Linked DNA regions of Daphnia pulex. The protein of the gene in region 1 interacts with the protein of each later gene in a pairwise test. Links are inferred from orthologs where the notes say so. Each region holds a gene or a part of one and is shown in the gene's direction. Other genes may lie near its edges.

Evidence for each region.
Region 2: the proteins of RAB6-interacting golgin-like (region 1) and RING finger and CHY zinc finger domain-containing protein 1-like interact in a two-hybrid assay, tested with the Homo sapiens proteins (3 studies listed by BioGRID and IntAct). The link is inferred for Daphnia pulex from reciprocal best matches to the Homo sapiens genes GORAB and RCHY1.
Region 3: the proteins of RAB6-interacting golgin-like (region 1) and N-terminal kinase-like protein interact in a two-hybrid assay, tested with the Homo sapiens proteins (2 studies listed by BioGRID and IntAct). The link is inferred for Daphnia pulex from reciprocal best matches to the Homo sapiens genes GORAB and SCYL1.

What each region holds. Positions count from the first base shown.
Region 1 is NC_060018.1:3,992,709-3,998,475, reverse strand, and holds RAB6-interacting golgin-like, read left to right. Parts: upstream 1-2,331; 5' UTR 2,332-2,412; coding exon 2,413-2,491; intron 2,492-2,553; coding exon 2,554-2,726; intron 2,727-2,813; coding exon 2,814-3,133; intron 3,134-3,208; coding exon 3,209-3,349; intron 3,350-3,429; coding exon 3,430-3,634; intron 3,635-3,704; coding exon 3,705-3,737; 3' UTR 3,738-4,089; intron 4,090-4,154; 3' UTR 4,155-4,258; exon of another isoform or gene 4,259-4,327; 3' UTR 4,328-4,730; intron 4,731-4,800; 3' UTR 4,801-5,222; downstream 5,223-5,767. Other genes in the region: ERI1 exoribonuclease 2-like, read left to right, coding at 373-375, 444-763, 825-972, 1,075-1,227, 1,334-1,981.
Region 2 is NC_060018.1:4,446,269-4,452,060, forward strand, and holds RING finger and CHY zinc finger domain-containing protein 1-like, read left to right. Parts: upstream 1-2,420; 5' UTR 2,421-2,522; coding exon 2,523-2,582; intron 2,583-2,789; coding exon 2,790-2,951; intron 2,952-3,019; coding exon 3,020-3,086; intron 3,087-3,158; coding exon 3,159-3,247; intron 3,248-3,332; coding exon 3,333-3,515; intron 3,516-3,575; coding exon 3,576-3,671; intron 3,672-3,735; coding exon 3,736-3,835; intron 3,836-3,903; coding exon 3,904-3,935; 3' UTR 3,936-4,526; downstream 4,527-5,792. Other genes in the region: protein KRI1 homolog, read left to right, coding at 1-90, 161-259, 337-471, 538-1,153; transcription factor TFIIIB component B'' homolog, read right to left, coding at 4,647-5,722, 5,787-5,792. UniProt on the Homo sapiens protein: E3 ubiquitin-protein ligase that mediates ubiquitination of target proteins, including p53/TP53, TP73, HDAC1 and CDKN1B. Mediates ubiquitination and degradation of p53/TP53; preferentially acts on tetrameric p53/TP53.
Region 3 is NC_060028.1:3,727,306-3,733,028, forward strand, and holds the start of N-terminal kinase-like protein, read left to right. Parts: upstream 1-2,360; 5' UTR 2,361-2,500; coding exon 2,501-2,614; intron 2,615-2,680; coding exon 2,681-2,824; intron 2,825-2,884; coding exon 2,885-3,019; intron 3,020-3,085; coding exon 3,086-3,170; intron 3,171-3,237; coding exon 3,238-3,376; intron 3,377-3,439; coding exon 3,440-3,530; intron 3,531-3,598; coding exon 3,599-3,834; intron 3,835-3,906; coding exon 3,907-3,985; intron 3,986-4,056; coding exon 4,057-4,278; intron 4,279-4,356; coding exon 4,357-4,449; intron 4,450-4,520; coding exon 4,521-4,656; intron 4,657-4,722; coding exon 4,723-4,914; intron 4,915-5,000; coding exon 5,001-5,272; intron 5,273-5,335; coding exon 5,336-5,500; intron 5,501-5,723. Other genes in the region: dynein axonemal assembly factor 1-like, read right to left, coding at 2,072-2,163, 2,226-2,284. UniProt on the Homo sapiens protein: Regulates COPI-mediated retrograde protein traffic at the interface between the Golgi apparatus and the endoplasmic reticulum. Involved in the maintenance of the Golgi apparatus morphology.

The sequences.
Region 1 (5,767 bases):
AATTGGATCCCATTTTAGAATAGCGTAATGAGGCGATGAAGGAAGAATTAATATTTAATTTTAATTAACATTTCTTATCTTAAATAGCCCATTTAAAAATGGGTAACTTTTAAATCTAAGTACCAAAAGCTTTGAATGTTCTCCGGTAGAAGGCTCTGATGATGAACAACATTGATGTGATTAAAATTTTGTTTTTATCTGACTTCCTACTAGTTAAATTTTGATTGCAAAATATCTTATATTCCTGTCTGAATATAAAGATGACCAATGTGATGGAAACACCATACGCAGCAGTGCACCCCATCTACTATCAAACCAAACCAATTCGTATCTAAATTGCTGTGAACTCGTGATGGTGTGCGATCAAATGTTATGGTCTGAATGCCTTTTTCAATTTCGTGATATACGTGTAATCTGGTTAGCTAAATTAATATTATACGCAGAACATGCAATCTTTGTCCAGTCAAGAATTCCAGGATGTCTATAAATGGGAAGAAAGAGAAGATGGAGAATTAACAGATTTCAGTACTGAAATGGAAGACGGGGAACTTTCAGATTCCAGTTTCACCAAACTGGACACAAGTCACACAACAGTGGGAAAAGAAGTCATGGAATATACTTGCTTAGTCCCAAAAATTCCCGAAAAGGAAGCAGTGGGTCACTTTATTGGCGGGAATAAAAACAAAGGACGACTGTTTGACTACTATGTTATAATTGACTTTGAAGGAACTTGTGGAGTTCTAAAAAACCCAAGACATATCAAGTAAATTTATAATTTTTTTTCCACCATTCAGAATTATCCACACCAAGTTTTTCTTTTTCAGAGGTGGAATACAAGAAATAATTGAATTCCCTGCCATTTTACTAAATGGTCACAATGGACTCATTGAAGATGAATTCCAATCCTTCTGCAGACCAGTTCTTAACCCTTCATTGACAAATTTTTGTAAAAAATTTACAGGAATCACACAGGTTCGTTATTTTGTAAATGTTCCATTTCCGGCATTTGGAGCCTACAACTGAACAGTTCGTGATTCAAATGTATATTCCATATTTATTTTTGTCCTTGTGTAGGATGCTGTTGACAAAGCTCCTTTATTCAATGAAGTATTTGTCTTATTTGAAGAATGGTTGCAGAAAAACCAAGTTATTGGTTCCAACTATTCATTCGCGGTTGTGACCGATGGACCTGACGACATTCGTCAATTTTTACAGAAGCAGTGTAAGGTGAGTTTTAGTGTAAGTACGATTACATCGTCGTCCTACAGTTAACCACTCACATTTCTTTCGTTTTTTTTTTTTCTTTTCGTTGCTGTTTTGTTGTTTTATTTAGATTTCAGCAATAGATTTTCCAACGTACTGTAAGAACTGGATAAATATTAAGAAAACTTTCGCTCGTTTCTACAAAAATGGCAATATGCAATGTCTGTCCCTAAAAAATATGATTCGGGATATTGGATGTGAATTTCAAGGAAGAGCTCATAGCGGCATAGATGATGCCCGAAATATTGCTTCAATTGTTCAACGTCTTTTGACGGACGGAGCGCGCGTTACGTTCAATGAAAAGTTAGTTGTCAATCGGGCCCAGAAACGTAAAATAAGGCAGAATTCTACAAATACCAACCCAACCACACAAGCTAACCCAGTTAAAAAAAGGAATTTGAAAGTTCAAACTGCCGTAAAGAAGGCAAAGACAAAAAATCCTGCCAAGAAGACGGTTCCTGCCTTAAAAGGTTCAATTACAAAAAATGATGTCAAACATGAGCAAATTAAATCCAAGAAGAACCGGAAAAGAAACGCAAAACGTCCAAACAAGAAGGAACAAGTACATGCCAAGGGTTTAAAAACTGCAGATAATTTAACAAATACCAAACAAATAAGGGAGAAATTAAAACTTGCTGCAAAAAATGTTAGAAATCTTAGGAAAAGGTTGAAATCTGCCCTACATCAGGAAAATATTTGCAGTCCCATTTTACCATAAGGTAACTAGGGCACGGAAATCCAAATAAATAAACATTCGGCTTTTCGCTTATTGTTTTGAACAGGAAAATCCAGATCCCAGCAACAACGAATTTCGTTTTACAAAACTACAGCGCTGCGGTGCGCTACTAACCAACAGGCAAAAGCAACATTTGAACAGTAAATTTTTAGCTATGGTTTCCGTTTTCCAAAAACTGTTCGACCACTTATTCATAAATACATATATAACTTTATATCTTACTTATATAACTTTACCCTTGAGTCCTTTCCTTTATTGCTGTGCAAGTTGATTAAAAATTCTGCATTTTCTTTTGTTGAGATATTGAGTTGGAGTAAAAGCTTTGCATGATCTCCGCTAGAAGGCTCCGATCATGATGTGTCACTCGGAAAAGGTAAATAAACTTTGAAGTAGCAAAACTGAATTATTAAAAAATGGCCACTCCGTGGTCTGGTTTTTCGCTTGAAGATCAGGCAAAAATCAAATCTGAATTGGATATTAAACGTGACGCAAGTAAGCACTTAATTTCTGAGAAATTTTGTATTGATTATATATGTAATGTAAATTGGCTGTAGAGAATGAAACAGACAGTGCCTTGCAGACTGCCGACGAGAACAAGGAAGCAAAATCGATAGTGATGCAGAAAAAAAACAAAGTCAACCCAAAGAAAACATCACATTCTACCATGTCTTCCTGTCACACAAATGATCTCCCTAATGAGGCTATGTTATCAGCTAAACCCAAACAGGTTAAATTTTAATATTTAAGATAAGCCTCAGCAAGCCTCATAGTATAGTATAGCACAAACTATAATTAAAACTAATGTGTTTTCTAGGAAAAGGTGCCTGAATCTCCAGTTCATGTTAAACTAAGAATTTCAGAAGATAAACCTACCTCATTTGAGATCATGGAAGCAGCACCTCTTGAAAATGGCATAATAAATGATCAAGGAAGCGATGAATCACAAAATGCCAGTGATGAAGGGCATGAATCAACTTGTTGCCAGCCTCCAAATTCCACACTCTCTGTGGATTTGCTTCAAAATGGGGGGAAAAAGGATCCTGTTAATCTGGATGAATTTGAAAAGAAACAAAAGCTCATTGAAGAACAAAATCGTCTAAAAAAGCAGATGCTGGCAAAAGCTTTGGCCCTTAGGTTTGTATTTTCAGTTTAAGATTTATATAAAATTATTTCCTTGGCTGATTTTCAGTTGTTTATGCAATATGACAGAAAAATGAAGACTCAAGCTGAAGCACTGAAGATACACCAAATTCAAGAAGAGCTTTCCAAACTTGATGCAAACTTGAGCAATGATGTTTGCATTTTGAGAAGCCATATTGAAATAGCAAGTGTGGAGCTGTCGGAAGCTGAGTAAAAGAATAAGTCGTTAAACACCCATCTACGGTACCGAATAAAACTGTTAGTTTTTTTTTTTTTTTTTTTTTAATCAGGAAACGCTATACGAAGGCTGAACGTGAATTCGTCGAAGCTAAGCAGTTACTCTTCAACAAAAGAGAACGCAAAGATCTATTAACTGAGCATCTCTGTACTATTATTGAGCAAAATGAGATGCGAAAAGCACATCGTCTCACTGACTTGATGATTCAATTAGACGACGAAGATCATCGAGCAGAAACACTACCTGCCGGTAACCGGGTAATGAAACTAGGCTACTATATGCGATTTGAAAACCATGAAGAAAGATTAATGGGTCAAACTTTTTTAGCTCATAGATCCAGTGACGATTGATGAAGTTTGAAATTACGAATCATGCAGCTTTAGGAATCTCTTCACTATGCGTGCCTTACTTAAATTGCCTTTTATTATGAATCATAATCATTCACTAATCATTTCACCTGAATGTTGTTGCTACTTTTTATGACTTTAGGATTTTATTTGATATTTTTAAATATTATTGATTATTGCACATCTCACTTAACCAAAAATACACAACGAACCATTTACAGTATTGGACTCTGAGGTTGAAGCACTCAGTTGTTATTCCAATGTTAAGGGAGAAAATATTGAAAAGAAAAATTCACAGTCTAGAATAAATGCGAGCTGTTTCATTGCAGATCTAGTTCGAGCTTTCCCAGGTATGCGTTATTTATGTATGACCAGTTAACGAGCATACCAAACCAAGTCCACTCATTATTTTATTTTCTCATTTGCGTAGGTACCTTTCTTGGAAACAAACTCAACTTTGAAGTTTAGAATAGTTGGAATGAGGAAATTTAATTCTTGGATGATGGGAATGGGATGCATCTTTAAAGCGTATGGGTATGTTACTTTACTGTTTATTTCTCTGATACCATGGTGACCGATCCTCACCCTGGTCTGGATGTTAAGCGCAGCGTTAGTAACCAAACATGGAAGGCCAAAGCTAATATTTAATTCAAAAGCTCATCGAATATGAAAGATACGATCAAATGGAATCATCGACTATCCTACCTAGTGGTCTTTGTTTTCGATTCTGTTGATGTCCACCAGCTGCTGTGTTTCCTGGGCAACCGACCGAGAATGAGCGGCTATTTAACGGCAGTGCGGGAGCGCAAATTCAACAATCTCGACCTGACGTCCTAGATAAACACACGCAACTAACCCAACTACGGTATTCATACTGCTTGAAATGGACCACAAAGATCATCACCACCAAACTGTAGCTCATGGAAAAAAGGGTCACGAACACACTGATTCGAAGCACCAGGCTGAAGAAAACCAAGCTCCGCGTGCTGGTTTCCAGCTTGGTCAGGTAGAAATGTGTTTTTGATTTTAGAAATTTTTTCCCTTCTTCTATTGAAAATGTTTGTTAAATTGAGTAGACGGCGGCCGGCTTTGGGACCAACAAAACTTCTGAGCTTTCGACTTTCGCCAATACGAAAGACTTCGAGGATTTGGAAGCTGAATCACGCAGCAACAGCGGACACGAGCATGAAGAGCACGGTGAGCACGACCACGAAGATGACAAAGAAGACCACCACGCTAAAAAATAAAACAAAGGCGACCAACTGGTGATCTTCGCAATCATCTTTTGAATCATTTTTGGCTGTATGTGCTAAAATTCATTGAATGTTTATAGTTTTCGAAAAAAATTTGTTTGCTTCTATATATCTCACTTATTTGCCGCTGCTTATTAATCAACCATTGATTTTGCTTATAGTTGTGTTTTAACTGGTCCTATTTAGAAGAATTGCACCCCTTGTTTCATTCATAATCGGAAAATAAATTGGGATTAACTCAGCAATTCCACAGACGAACATATTTATTATTGTCATTTAAGAAATCAAGAAAATGAAAAATTGAAATTGATAGTATCATTGTGGTTAACAATACTTTTCTGAAAAGAACTGGTGCCGTTGCAAGTTGCTTGAGGAAGTTGTGGTAGTTGTCCCTTGAACTGTCGGATTATTGGATCTGCAAATAAAGAAATTCTTCTTCTCTTTTGCTAAATTAAAACGGACAAAGTTCCAACAGCCATTGGTGCTGCCTTGCTTTGGGCCCCGCAAGCCATGGTTTCCGTATAGCTTTTCAATAAAATACGTTGTTTCAGCTTCGGAGTTTTGCTGATCTTTTGTCCATAAAGCTTGATTTTCTTCAAAGTTATCCTGTATGTCACATCCGTTTTCTTCAATGATTTTATTGGCTTTCAAAACAACAGCTTCTCTTGAATCGGAGAAAAACGAAGCCGGCCTTGCGTACATGAATGGCCCTCCAAAAAGAAAAGTCTCGTTTATCCAGATCGAAAGTTGCTGTTCCTCGGCGTTGTTTCTAGCGTTTAAATAGCAGTCA
Region 2 (5,792 bases), about 450 kb from region 1:
AAGAGAAGAAATGAATGACTATTATACATACATCACGAAAAAGAAAAACGTTTCTTTAAAGAAACGAGTTCTACCTTCGGTTTTCGCCGAGTAAGTTGAAGTTTCTCGTTTAGTTTTGAACAATTGAAATGATTTCTAAAAACGCATTGCGATTCTTTAGAAATTCAGAGGCATTAATGGTAGCCGATCAAGAAAAAGATCGAAAAAAGCGGAGAAGGAATCAAGGCAAAGACGAAGATCCTGAATCCCAACCCATTCCGTAAGTTAAAATGATTTTAGAATACGTTTTTTGTTGAGCCCTTTTAATAAAAATAATTATAATAATGATTCACACAGATATCCTGAAATTGATCATCAAGAAATCCAAGAGGAAACAGTGCCAAAGAAAAAGAAGAGGAAAAACAAGGGAAAAGATGAACCGTTTACCCAAGTGAATGATTTTTCTCAGATAACTGAACCAAATCATTCCAAGTAAGTACACATTTTCACTTGAAACTGAGAGCTCTTCTTCAATAGCTCTTTTTTCTTTTCACGTAGGAAAACTAATGAAGTCGCACACAAGAGGAGGAAAGACAATACCGACGATGCTGGAAATGTTTCAGTGGCTTCAGAACATGAACAGCCCAAACCAAAGAAGTTAAAAGCTGAAAAACCTCAAGTGGAAAATGAAATTCCTTTAGCTACCGAACTGGTCAAAGGCAACGAGAATCCTGAAAAAAAGAAGAAGAAAAAGAAGAAGAAGAACTTGTCGGAAATGGCGGTAGCTACGGTTTCGAATCCTCCTGTCATCCCTGAGAAAGCAGTTTCACCAAGCAAGGATTTTAAAATGGAAATCGATTCAACTGGAAAGAAGAGTGAGGTCACTTGCACAGAAAACTCTCCCAAAAAGAAAAAAAAGAAGAAACAAGCTAAGAAATTGTTGGCACAAGAGGAGGATCAGAAGGCCGGATCGTCTTCTGTTAATGAAGGAAAGAAACAGAAGAAAAAGAAGAAGAAAAACAAAAACGCAACTGAAACAACAGCTAATAAGAAATCGGCCACCATTCGTGGTTTTGACATAACTGACGATCGCCTCAAAGCGTACGGCATCCGAAACCCCAAGAAATTCAAGAATGCCATTATATTCGGAAATTTGAAAAAATCAAAAGACTAACGGGGTTGGGACTTGGGAGTCAGATTTTGTCAGTAATTGTATTTGGTTTGATTGAGTGGATATTTCGAACGTTCTATCAATAAAAAGACTCGTGTTCCAATTCTTTGAAAGTTGCGGGTTCAAATAAAAATGTCTTCCAAAGAAAGAAAATGAGAGTATAAATTGATCGATAATGACGCTGCGCTCCTCATCTGATAACCTACAGCCAACGGTCTGTAACACGTGGGTCACTTATCTTTCTCGTCGAATAAAAAAACGCACATGAATTGAAATTGAAGGCCTTCTAAACAAATTTACCCAACAAAATCTTAAAAATTTGCAATGCTACTATAATCTCCATGCGAGAGAAGGAAAAGGGGATGACAAGGTCGACATTAAAAAAAGTTTTCGTGAATAAGTAAAAAATCTTCAATTGTCGCAGCTATTTATGTGCAACAGGTCACATTGGCTTACAATCTTTCGTACATTTCATAGAAAATTAAATTACCAGAGTATGCACAACCTCGCAAAAAAAGTCGTTTAAGTGTTTTTTCCTACCTTCGTAATGGTCACACGTGGGATTTGATGTTATCATGTTGAGGGTCGGCGGTTTGGTCGATTATGGTGTTTTGTCCCCAATTGTTCGGCAATGTTCTTTTCAACTGCTTACGAGATCGATGATTCACAATTCACAATCACAGGAAATGATTATGGCAATAATTATTCAGTCAGAGTTCACAGTCGCGCTATACACACTTTCAAATTCTACTGCCAAATTGTTGAGCATCCGACCTCGTGGGCCGCACGAGAACAACTAAGTTTTTCAAGGACCTTGCTGCCCTTTCAATAGGTAGGGTCATTTGCATATTTTTCTCAATTTGAACGTAAAAAAAAATTTCTTCGATTTTCTCCTTTCCTCCTTTTCTCCTACCTTACCCCGGTCCCCGGCCTTAAGTCCATTAATATTTCAAAACATGCACTCCGATAGACTGTATAAAACAGTATGGCAACATTCGAGTGTTTTGATTTTGAAGAACCGCTTTTAGAAAGGACAAGGAAGGGAGCTAGCGACATCTCGTCACAACAAATTTAAGTTCGTGATTAACCAATTAAAGATTAGAGATGAGAAAATTGGATGAAAATTAACTTGCTGGTTACTCTGGATTCCATTGGGAAATTAGTTTTTAAATAAATTGCTGCACAAACAAGACAAACGTGGGAAGTTAGGAATTTTCGGAAAGAAGTCGACCCAACATAGTTCATGTTCATGCCGCTAGGCTAAGCCCAAACCTACACGCTGTACACTAACTGGCCGAAACTCGTGTTTTCTTTTACACTGTGTACACACACTGCCAGATACTGACTCGTTGGAATAGGTGGAGGAGATAAAATGGCTGAGGAGAATGTCGAATACGGTTGCGAACATTATAAACGAAAATGCAAATTAGTGGTAAGTAGTTCGACACTTTGTTCTTAACCAAGTAATGTTGTAACTCAAGTTGGTCGGGAAATAACTGTGGGCACAATGTCTGAAAAATGACCATGATATCTCCTCGTGAAGATAATGCGGTTTTATAGTAATCCTGTTTAAAGTTGTATTGAGAAGTTAAATACTTAATTATTTATTATTTTACTAAACAATAATTTTGTTTTGTAGACACCATGCTGTGACAAAGTTTATACTTGCCGTTTTTGTCATGATGAGAAGGAGGAACACACCCTTAACCGAAAAAATGTGGATGAAATTATGTGTTCATTGTGTGAAACAAAACAACCAGTTCAACAAAACTGTTCCAATTGTGGTATCCTCTTTGGACAGGTAAAGTATCAGACTTTTTTCTTTTCTTTTTTTTTTCAAAATAAAGAAACCTTGATTTTGTTTTGCAGTATTTTTGTGGAAAGTGCAAGTTGATTGATGATGAAGATAAAAAGCAGTATCACTGTGAAGGATGTGGTAATTATTATTACATTTTAAAACCAATTATATTTAATCTTTGGTGACAACTCCTATATCTTACTTTTTCAGGAATATGTAGAGTCGGAGGAAGGGACAAGTTTTTCCACTGCCAAACATGTGATATGTGCTTACCAAAAAAACTTGAAAATCAGCATAGAGTAAGCATTTTTGTGGGATTCTAATTTATACATAAATTATTTTGGTTTTTAGTTCATTCAATTAGTTATTTTTGCTCTGTTACAGTGCGTTGAAAAGATGAGCCGAACAAATTGCCCAATTTGTTTGGAGGATATTCATACATCAAGAATTCCTTCACACATCCCATCATGTGGTCATCTGATTCACCGAACATGTTTCAATTCATTTATTCATCGTGGTCACTATGCCTGCCCAGTTTGTCAACGTTCAATGATGCCGATGGAATCGGTACTAAAATTTAAATTTATAAAACGAATTATAACGTTACCAATTGTGTTTCCATTCTAGTACTGGCGCATTTTAGACGATGAAATTGCCTCAACCCCAATGCCAGTGGAATATCAAAATTTTTTTGTCACGATTTTATGTAACGACTGCCATCAGGTTAGTCATTTCTCGGCACTAAAGAGTTTTTAAAATGTTATTATAATTAACAATTTTTTTGCAGTTTTCTGAAGTTCCAATGCATCCCCTTGGAGCGAAGTGCCAAAATGCACCATGTGGATCGTACAATACGTGCAGAAGCGGTGGTCCTGTTAATAGACCTGGTAATTATAATTTTATTAATCTAGAGGAACTGCGTACCACAAATCAACTTTTTCTCTTTTTTTTTAAGCAGTCAGAGAACAATCTCCTAACTCGGAATAAATGGCCATGATTATCAAGGGAATAGGATGTTGTTTGTCATTTACTTGGACGGCGGTTTTATTCTGTTGACATGCAATAATTTTATTGGCCATCTACTAAATGGTCGAGTTTGTATTTTAAAGGCTTTTAAATTTTCATCCGTGAATCTTCCACCTTATTCGGCGGTAGGCATCTGGAGCCTGTTCGTGAAATTGGATCGAAAGGTTTTGTGAATTTTTTTCTTATCGTTCAAGTTACTCGTACCCCGTCAGCCATCCTGCTGATGTTTGATACCTGTTTTGTTGCCCTTACCTCGTTGCAGTGGCTAAATTGCCGTCATATTGTAATGCACCGTAGTGAGTAAAAAAAAACATCAGACAAAAACAATGGGTAACATTTAGAAATGACTCCTCGAGTAGTTTGAAAATGGACACTGCCAGAAAAGTTCATATCCGAAATTATGAAGATTCTTCTGTGCAGCTTGTGAGTTTCTTGTAATTTTACATGTCATATTATTACAATTGATTAAGCACTTCTCTTCAATTCTATGTGGAATGTACCTTCTGAACATTTTCAAATAACAATTCTGTATAAATATACGTTGTTACCTTATTCACTGGCCTTAAGCAGTAATTAGATCGTTATTTAATTCTGGATGGCAACAACATACACACGCACACACAAAAAAAAAATTAACAGTGAAGGATTGGGCAAAATGCGTAGGGGATCTTATTAGGAGACCGGTTCAAACGGTTCGGCTATACGGTATACATGTACCAATTGATTATTAGGATCTCCGGGATTGGGTTCTGCCACCAACACTAAACTACCGGGTTCAGCTTGAGCAAACGCGGGATTGGCTTCTGCAAGAGCTGGAGGGACTAGAAAAGATGGAGCCTGGTTAGGAGTTCCAGGAACTTCAACGACGGTTAACCCACCTTGTTCTAAACCAATTTGTCCAAGGGGAGAATTCAGCAAACTGTCGAGTGGAATATTTGAATTTGGAGCAGTAGGGTTAGCATCCTTCGAACAATTTGCTGGTTCCAAAGCATCATTCTCAGTTGGGTTTGCTGGTTGTTCGTCGTCATAATCAAGAGGCTTTACATTCTTTCGTCGCGTTATTTTACCAGATCGGGATCCAATAGCCGTCTTTCGAGCTCTTGTAGACACTCGAGATTCAGTGGCTTTCCCCTTCCGGCCTTTTTTCGCAGGGGGTGCTATCTCTTCTCCAGATTCTTCGTTTGTTGTTTTCTTATCCGACCTGATAGATTCAATTGAAACTACATCCGAATCAGACTCATTCGGATTTGGTTCTTGGATGCTCACTGTTTTCTTACAGTGGAGTGGATTATTTGAAATTGGAGCAGCAGGGTTAGCATTCTTCGAACTATTTGCTTGTTCCACAGCATCTTTTTCTTGACTTTCTGGTTGTTCGTTGTCAGAATCAATAGGCTGAACTTTCTTCTTTTGCGTTCGTGATCCAGTAGCCGTCTTTCGACCTCTTGTAGACACTCGAGATTCGGTGGCTTTCCCTTTCCGGCATTTTTTCGTAGGGGGTGCCATTTCTTCTTCCGATTCTTCGTTTGATGTTTTCTTATAAATGGACCTTATAGATGTAATCGAAACTTCATCCGAATCAGACTCATTTGGAATAGGTTGTTGGACGCTCACTGTTTTGTTCAAAGCCTTTTCTTTTTTATTGTTGCCCTTTGCCTTCCCCTTTGACTCTTTGCCAGTGGTCTTAGATTTACTGGCATCTTTTCTTGATTTATCTTTGATTTCGTTTTCAACGCCGCTTGAATCCTCTTCTATTTGTAAATATACATTTAATGATGAAGACATTATAAATGCAATAACAAGAAAAAAAATTACCTGATG
Region 3 (5,723 bases), on another chromosome or scaffold:
TTTTAGGTGCAGCAGTTGACGAGAAAACTGCTGCACAAAAACCGAAATAGGTCGAAATTTCAGGCTACCCCCTGTAGTGTTTTTTTAATATCCCCAAACTACAATAGCTAATCAATTGCGGTTTTCACCAATCGACTAAGCGAAAAATTTAAAACAAACCCCCCCCCCCCCCAAATTTGTTAAATTTTAGATCCCCTAGCGATGATTTCCGCAAAATCAAAAACCCCCCAAATGGTCTGTTTGAGTTTCGGATGGCTTGTTAAAAAAGATGTCGAACAGCCCTAAACAGTATGGCACCTGTTTAGTGCCATAAGTAGCACCTAAATCTTCAACCTCATCCCAGCACCTCAACTCTCAACCTTAACCGAGCAACTTTCTATTTCCCAGCTGTTGTTAAGCTATCCAAAATGCTATGCTGACATCTAGCGAAGGGAGAATTAAGCGACGGCATCTAGAACACAGAGCGACGTTTCTCCATCATGTGGGCGCAAAACGCTAGCGCCCGTTTATTGTAAGTGGGAATCACGATTAATCCCGCTAACGATCTGCTTTATTGAATATCATTTTTACGTTCAATTTACGCTCACGCCGGGCAATTTGTTTTAGTGAACCTGACGTACTAAATAAAAATACGTTAGCGTAATTATTCGACGATACCCGTTGGCGCTAGTGTCCATGAGAGAGGGAGAAAACCCTCTCTATACACTCATTGGGGTTGTTTAATTCTCCCTCCGCTAGATGTCAGCATACTTTTTGGGAATATCTTCAAACTTAAAGTCAATATAATTTTACTTAAGCGTAAAAAAGTGTATTTTGTCCCTCCGTAACCTGTAGAATTATGAGAGAAAACGGAGGGACAAAATACACTTTTGTACGCTTAAGTAAAATTGTATTGACTTCAAGTTGTAAACTTGGTAGTCTTCTGAATCAGAAGGTAGATTTCTTAACGACGACTCAAGACAAATTTCTCCTCTTCCACATGGAGCTAGAAAATATGGTGCTTGGTGCAAGGTGCTGGGTTAAGATGCTGCTTATGGCACTAAAAACGTGCCGTACAATATATATATATATAGTGCCCTCTGGTCGCGGCATGGAAGGCTAGAGCCCCCACCCTATCCCCGTTTTGTGTGTATCTGTGGTCCGATTTTCGAGATTTATGGGATGGAAACAAAGTTGCCGTCCGATCAATTGTTTTTTAGTTGATCGCTGACCAACTTTTTCTGAGTTTGGTAGGTCACTCAAACCATAACCTGATAACCATGCTCAAACTCAAAATGAGTCGAGTTTCGCTTAATTTTTCGCGCTTAAATCATCGATCAACGTTTGCCTGGAATTTTTACCTTCCAGTGACATCTAGCGGTCAAACTTTGAAATCGATACACAATTGAAATAATAATTTGCCATTTTTCAATTAATAATATTTAAATTTTTTGTCTAGTTTTTTTTTCTTTTACTGTGTTTTACTGTTTAAACAAGAAAAATTCATAAATAATAATTTCATACAATTTTCGTAGTTTAAAATTTACCGCTTGACAGCGCCTGGAATCGATCGAATAAATTGAGCTTAAGCGAACTCAATTTTTTTTATCGTCGCTTATTTTAAGCTCAAACTCAGACAAAAGATTTGAGCGCCGATTAAAAGTTTGAGTTCGTGCTTAAGCGACGATCAACTCTTAAGTTCGATCGTCGTAAGATAAGTAAGAGTAAAAGTTTTTTTTTTACTATTTTTTCAATCTATTGAGTATTAAACGAACGGCATAAAGCGATACGGACGAGGAATCAAATTTAAGTTCCCTAATATATTCCAAACTGTCTGACTGTCTGTCTATAAGGAATGTGAAGCATTAGAATTGCCTTGCGATTCTGTACGGAATTGTCTCAGAATTCTCAGGTTTCTTTCAGGATTCCTTTTCAAAAAAGGTCTCCAGAAAAGGTTATTTTTGTGTTATCACTTGAAATCGCGGACTGCTTATTGGTAAAAAAAAACCTCAGATAACAAGGCAGTGAGTTATTCACAACATTTGTTTTGGGGCATGTAGTATTTTATAGTATTATAAGAGAAATTGTAAACCTTGATGTTGAAGGTATAAAACTTCGTTTAAGTGAGGAGTTTGGTATAAGCCGTGCTTTCTACAATGATTTCGAAGCCATTTTGCAGTAATTCTAGGATTGGAAAATTATGTTCCATTTAGTTTGGTATTCTATAATATTGTATTTTATCTTACCTTGGAAATATATTTTGTTCATCCTGCGAATCCGTGTAAACATTTCCAACTTTTTCCATGACGATTCTTACGGATTCTTAGGTCTTTCCGTCTCATGTATTTTCTCCCCTTATCGACCAAACTACTCTTCGTATACTTACCAGAAGGTGGCACGCCGCTCGCATTTATGACGTGTCGCTGTCACCAACGTTACGTTTTGAATTGATCACTGAAATAAAAAATTGAATTACTCTTTGCTACAGTACTATTTTTAAAGTAATTGCAATAGGATAACTATGTGGTCATTTTTCAGCCGAGATCCTTCCAAAGAGTTCGGTTATGAAATTCTGGAACAACTTACAGGAACAGAAGAATATATGCTATGGAAACTTCATAAAGGGAAGAAGAAGGTGAATTGACACTGCATAATTATCAAAGTTAAAGTTTGGTTATCTTCATGTTATGGAATTCCTCAGGGTTCTAGTGAGCCAGTATCTGTTTTCATCCTTGATGCTAAAACAAGTGGAAATGACACACAGATAGAACTTGCGAAAGCAGCTCTGAAAAGATTGAAAACACTCAGGCATCCAAACATTCTCACTTACATCGATAGTCTAGAGGTTATTCATTCATTCTTTTATAATAAAAAGATTGCTTACTTATTTTCATTTACTATTTAGACAGAAAAATGTTTGTATTTGGTAACTGAGTATGTTGAGCCCTTGCAGTTTTATTTGAACAGTTGTGCTACTGATTACCCTAAATCTAAACAACAAAAAGAATTATTTATAGCATGGGGACTTTTTCAAGTTGTGGTATGTTTTAAAGTGAAATTAAATAAGGAATGTAACCAAAGATTTTAAGTTCTTAACTATTTCCAGCGAGCCCTAACTTTCTTGAATAATGATGTGAATCTTCAACATAATTCTATCTGCCTTGGAAATATACTTGTAAACACCGCTGGAGGTAAATATCCAAGTTTTGCATGTTACATAATCTAGTTCCTGCATTCTAATTGTATTAACTATAACAGAATGGAAGCTTGGAGGTTTTGAAAATGCAACTCCATCATCTCAAATAAATTCTCTACCAATAAAAATACTACCTTCCTTTGAGAAATATGACCCACCTGAGAAAGTGGATTCATTGAAGCTTAAATTTGCTACCAAATGGTACTTGATTAGATTTTTTTTTTCTATCCTTTAAATATTTCCTTAAATTTTATGTTTGTGAAGGTCAGCCGACATGTGGGGTCTAGGATGCCTTATTTGGGAAGTGTTCAACGGTTCACTCAAATCCTCTTCCTCATTAAAAATTTTGGGCAATGTATGAAATTACATATTGTTGATTTAATTAATGAGTTAAATCATATTACTTTGATTATTTTTAATTAGATTCCAAAACTGTTAACATCAGTTTACTGTGAACTTGTAGGAGCAAATCCCAGTTCTCGCCCTAACCCCAGTGAAGTCCTTGTTATTTGTAGAAAGCCTGGAGGTTACTTCAATAATGATTTGGTTGAATGTCTCCTTTTTTTGGAAGAGATTCAAATTAAGGAAAGTAATGAGAAGACACAGTTTTTCAATAAGCTACCTTTACTGTTGGAAAGTTTTCCAGAGAACTTGGCAAGGTTAATTATACTTAATATATAAAAGACTGACAAAGTATTTTGAGTAACAGTTTTATGTTTACTATCAAACAGACACAAAGTTTTACCTCAACTTATTAATGCATTTGAATTTGGTAATGCTGGAGCAACTATTCTCACTCCTCTGTTTAAGGTGAGCAATATTAAATTAATGTGTTTATGCATACAGTACTTAAATACCTTCTCGTCATGTTTTTTCCCCAGTTAGGTAGCTTATTAACCGAAGAGGAATATCAAAAACGAATTGTTCCTTGTGTAGTCAAATTATTCTCGTCTCCTGACAGAGCAACTCGTGTCCGTTTGTTGCAGCAATTAGAACATTTTTCAGCTCATCTTCTTCCTGTCACTGTGAATGATAACATCTTTCCCCACATTTTGAGCGGATTTACAGACTCGAATCCAGTAATAAGAGAGCACACTGTTAAGGTATTTTATTATAAAATGATTGTTCAGTACTGTTGTATTTATTTTACTTTTATTAATATTGGAATTATCGCAATGCAGTCCATTATATCTTTAGCACCAAAACTGAATTATAATAATCTGAATGTGGAAGTTCTCAAGCACTTCGCGCGATTACAATCTAAAGATGAACAGGTAAATTTCTTCGCAAACAAATGAGGCTACGTGTGTTGAAAATTATTTTTTTTTTTTTTTTTTGCATTTAGGGCGGGATCCGTACCAATACTACAGTGTGCCTTGGAAAAGTCGCCTCTTATTTCCATCCTCAGATAAGGCAGAAAGTTCTGGTATCAGCTTTTACCAGGGCACTGAGGGATCCGTTTCCTCCTGCCCGAGTTGGAGGTAAAATATTCCATTCATTAGAAATAGATTTAGTAAACATAAAATTTTAAATAAAAATTTTTTCAGGCATATTAGCATTTGCAGCCACCCAACAATATTATCTGCTGAACCAAATCTCTAATCAAATTTTACCTGCCCTTTGTGTACTGACGGGTGATCCTGAAAGAGAAGTGCGCGATCAGGCCTTTAAAGTCGTTAAAGGTTTCCTATCAAAATTGGAAAAAGTATCGGAAGATCCTTCTCTTCGAGAATGCATGGGTACTATTAATTATTTATTTATTTTCAATTGCTATAACGGTGATTTTTAATTTTTATTATCTTGTTTAATGTTTTCCTGTAAACAGAGGCTGATGTAAATGCAAACGCTAGCCCAAATGTAACAGATATGGCATCAACATGGGCTGGTTGGGCAGTTAGTGCAGTCACATCAAAGTTCTACAAGTCTCAAAGCAGCCAAATATCTGATCAGTCTCCTGCTCTGCCAGCCAGCACTCAAGGACCAGCTGCTACAAGCAACCCAATAAGTTGTGATACAATTCCTGAAACATCGCATGAATTACGGAGGACTTCTTATACCGAATCCACCGACGAATCCGTGCAATGGGGAGACATGAATGTATTACGAAACGACTTGAATATTTTTGTCCGAGTATTTAACTTATCTACGTTTACGTTTTAGGAGCTTTCACTATCAAGCAAAAACCTTGTGGATGATAAGGGAGATGGCGATGGCGATGGCGATGGGTGGGACGTTCAAGATGATTGGGCGCCAATTGAAACTGTTGAGCAAGATTCCTTTGGCCCAAGCATGACCACCGCGCGTTCTAAAGATTCCGTATTAATGGTAAATGCATATAAAAATTTGTAATTGTACTTCTAAAACTTTTACAATTTTATAGAGAAATCCATTCGGAAGTTAAATTTTCCTAAGACAGTATAATTATTATCTTAGTTTTTTATAGCTTTTTTTTTTAATGATTCCCATTTAAAAAATTAGTAACTAATGGTAACAGGAAGCTGATCGTAAATTATTGTATTGCATGGACATTAGTGGTTAGGTCCTATGT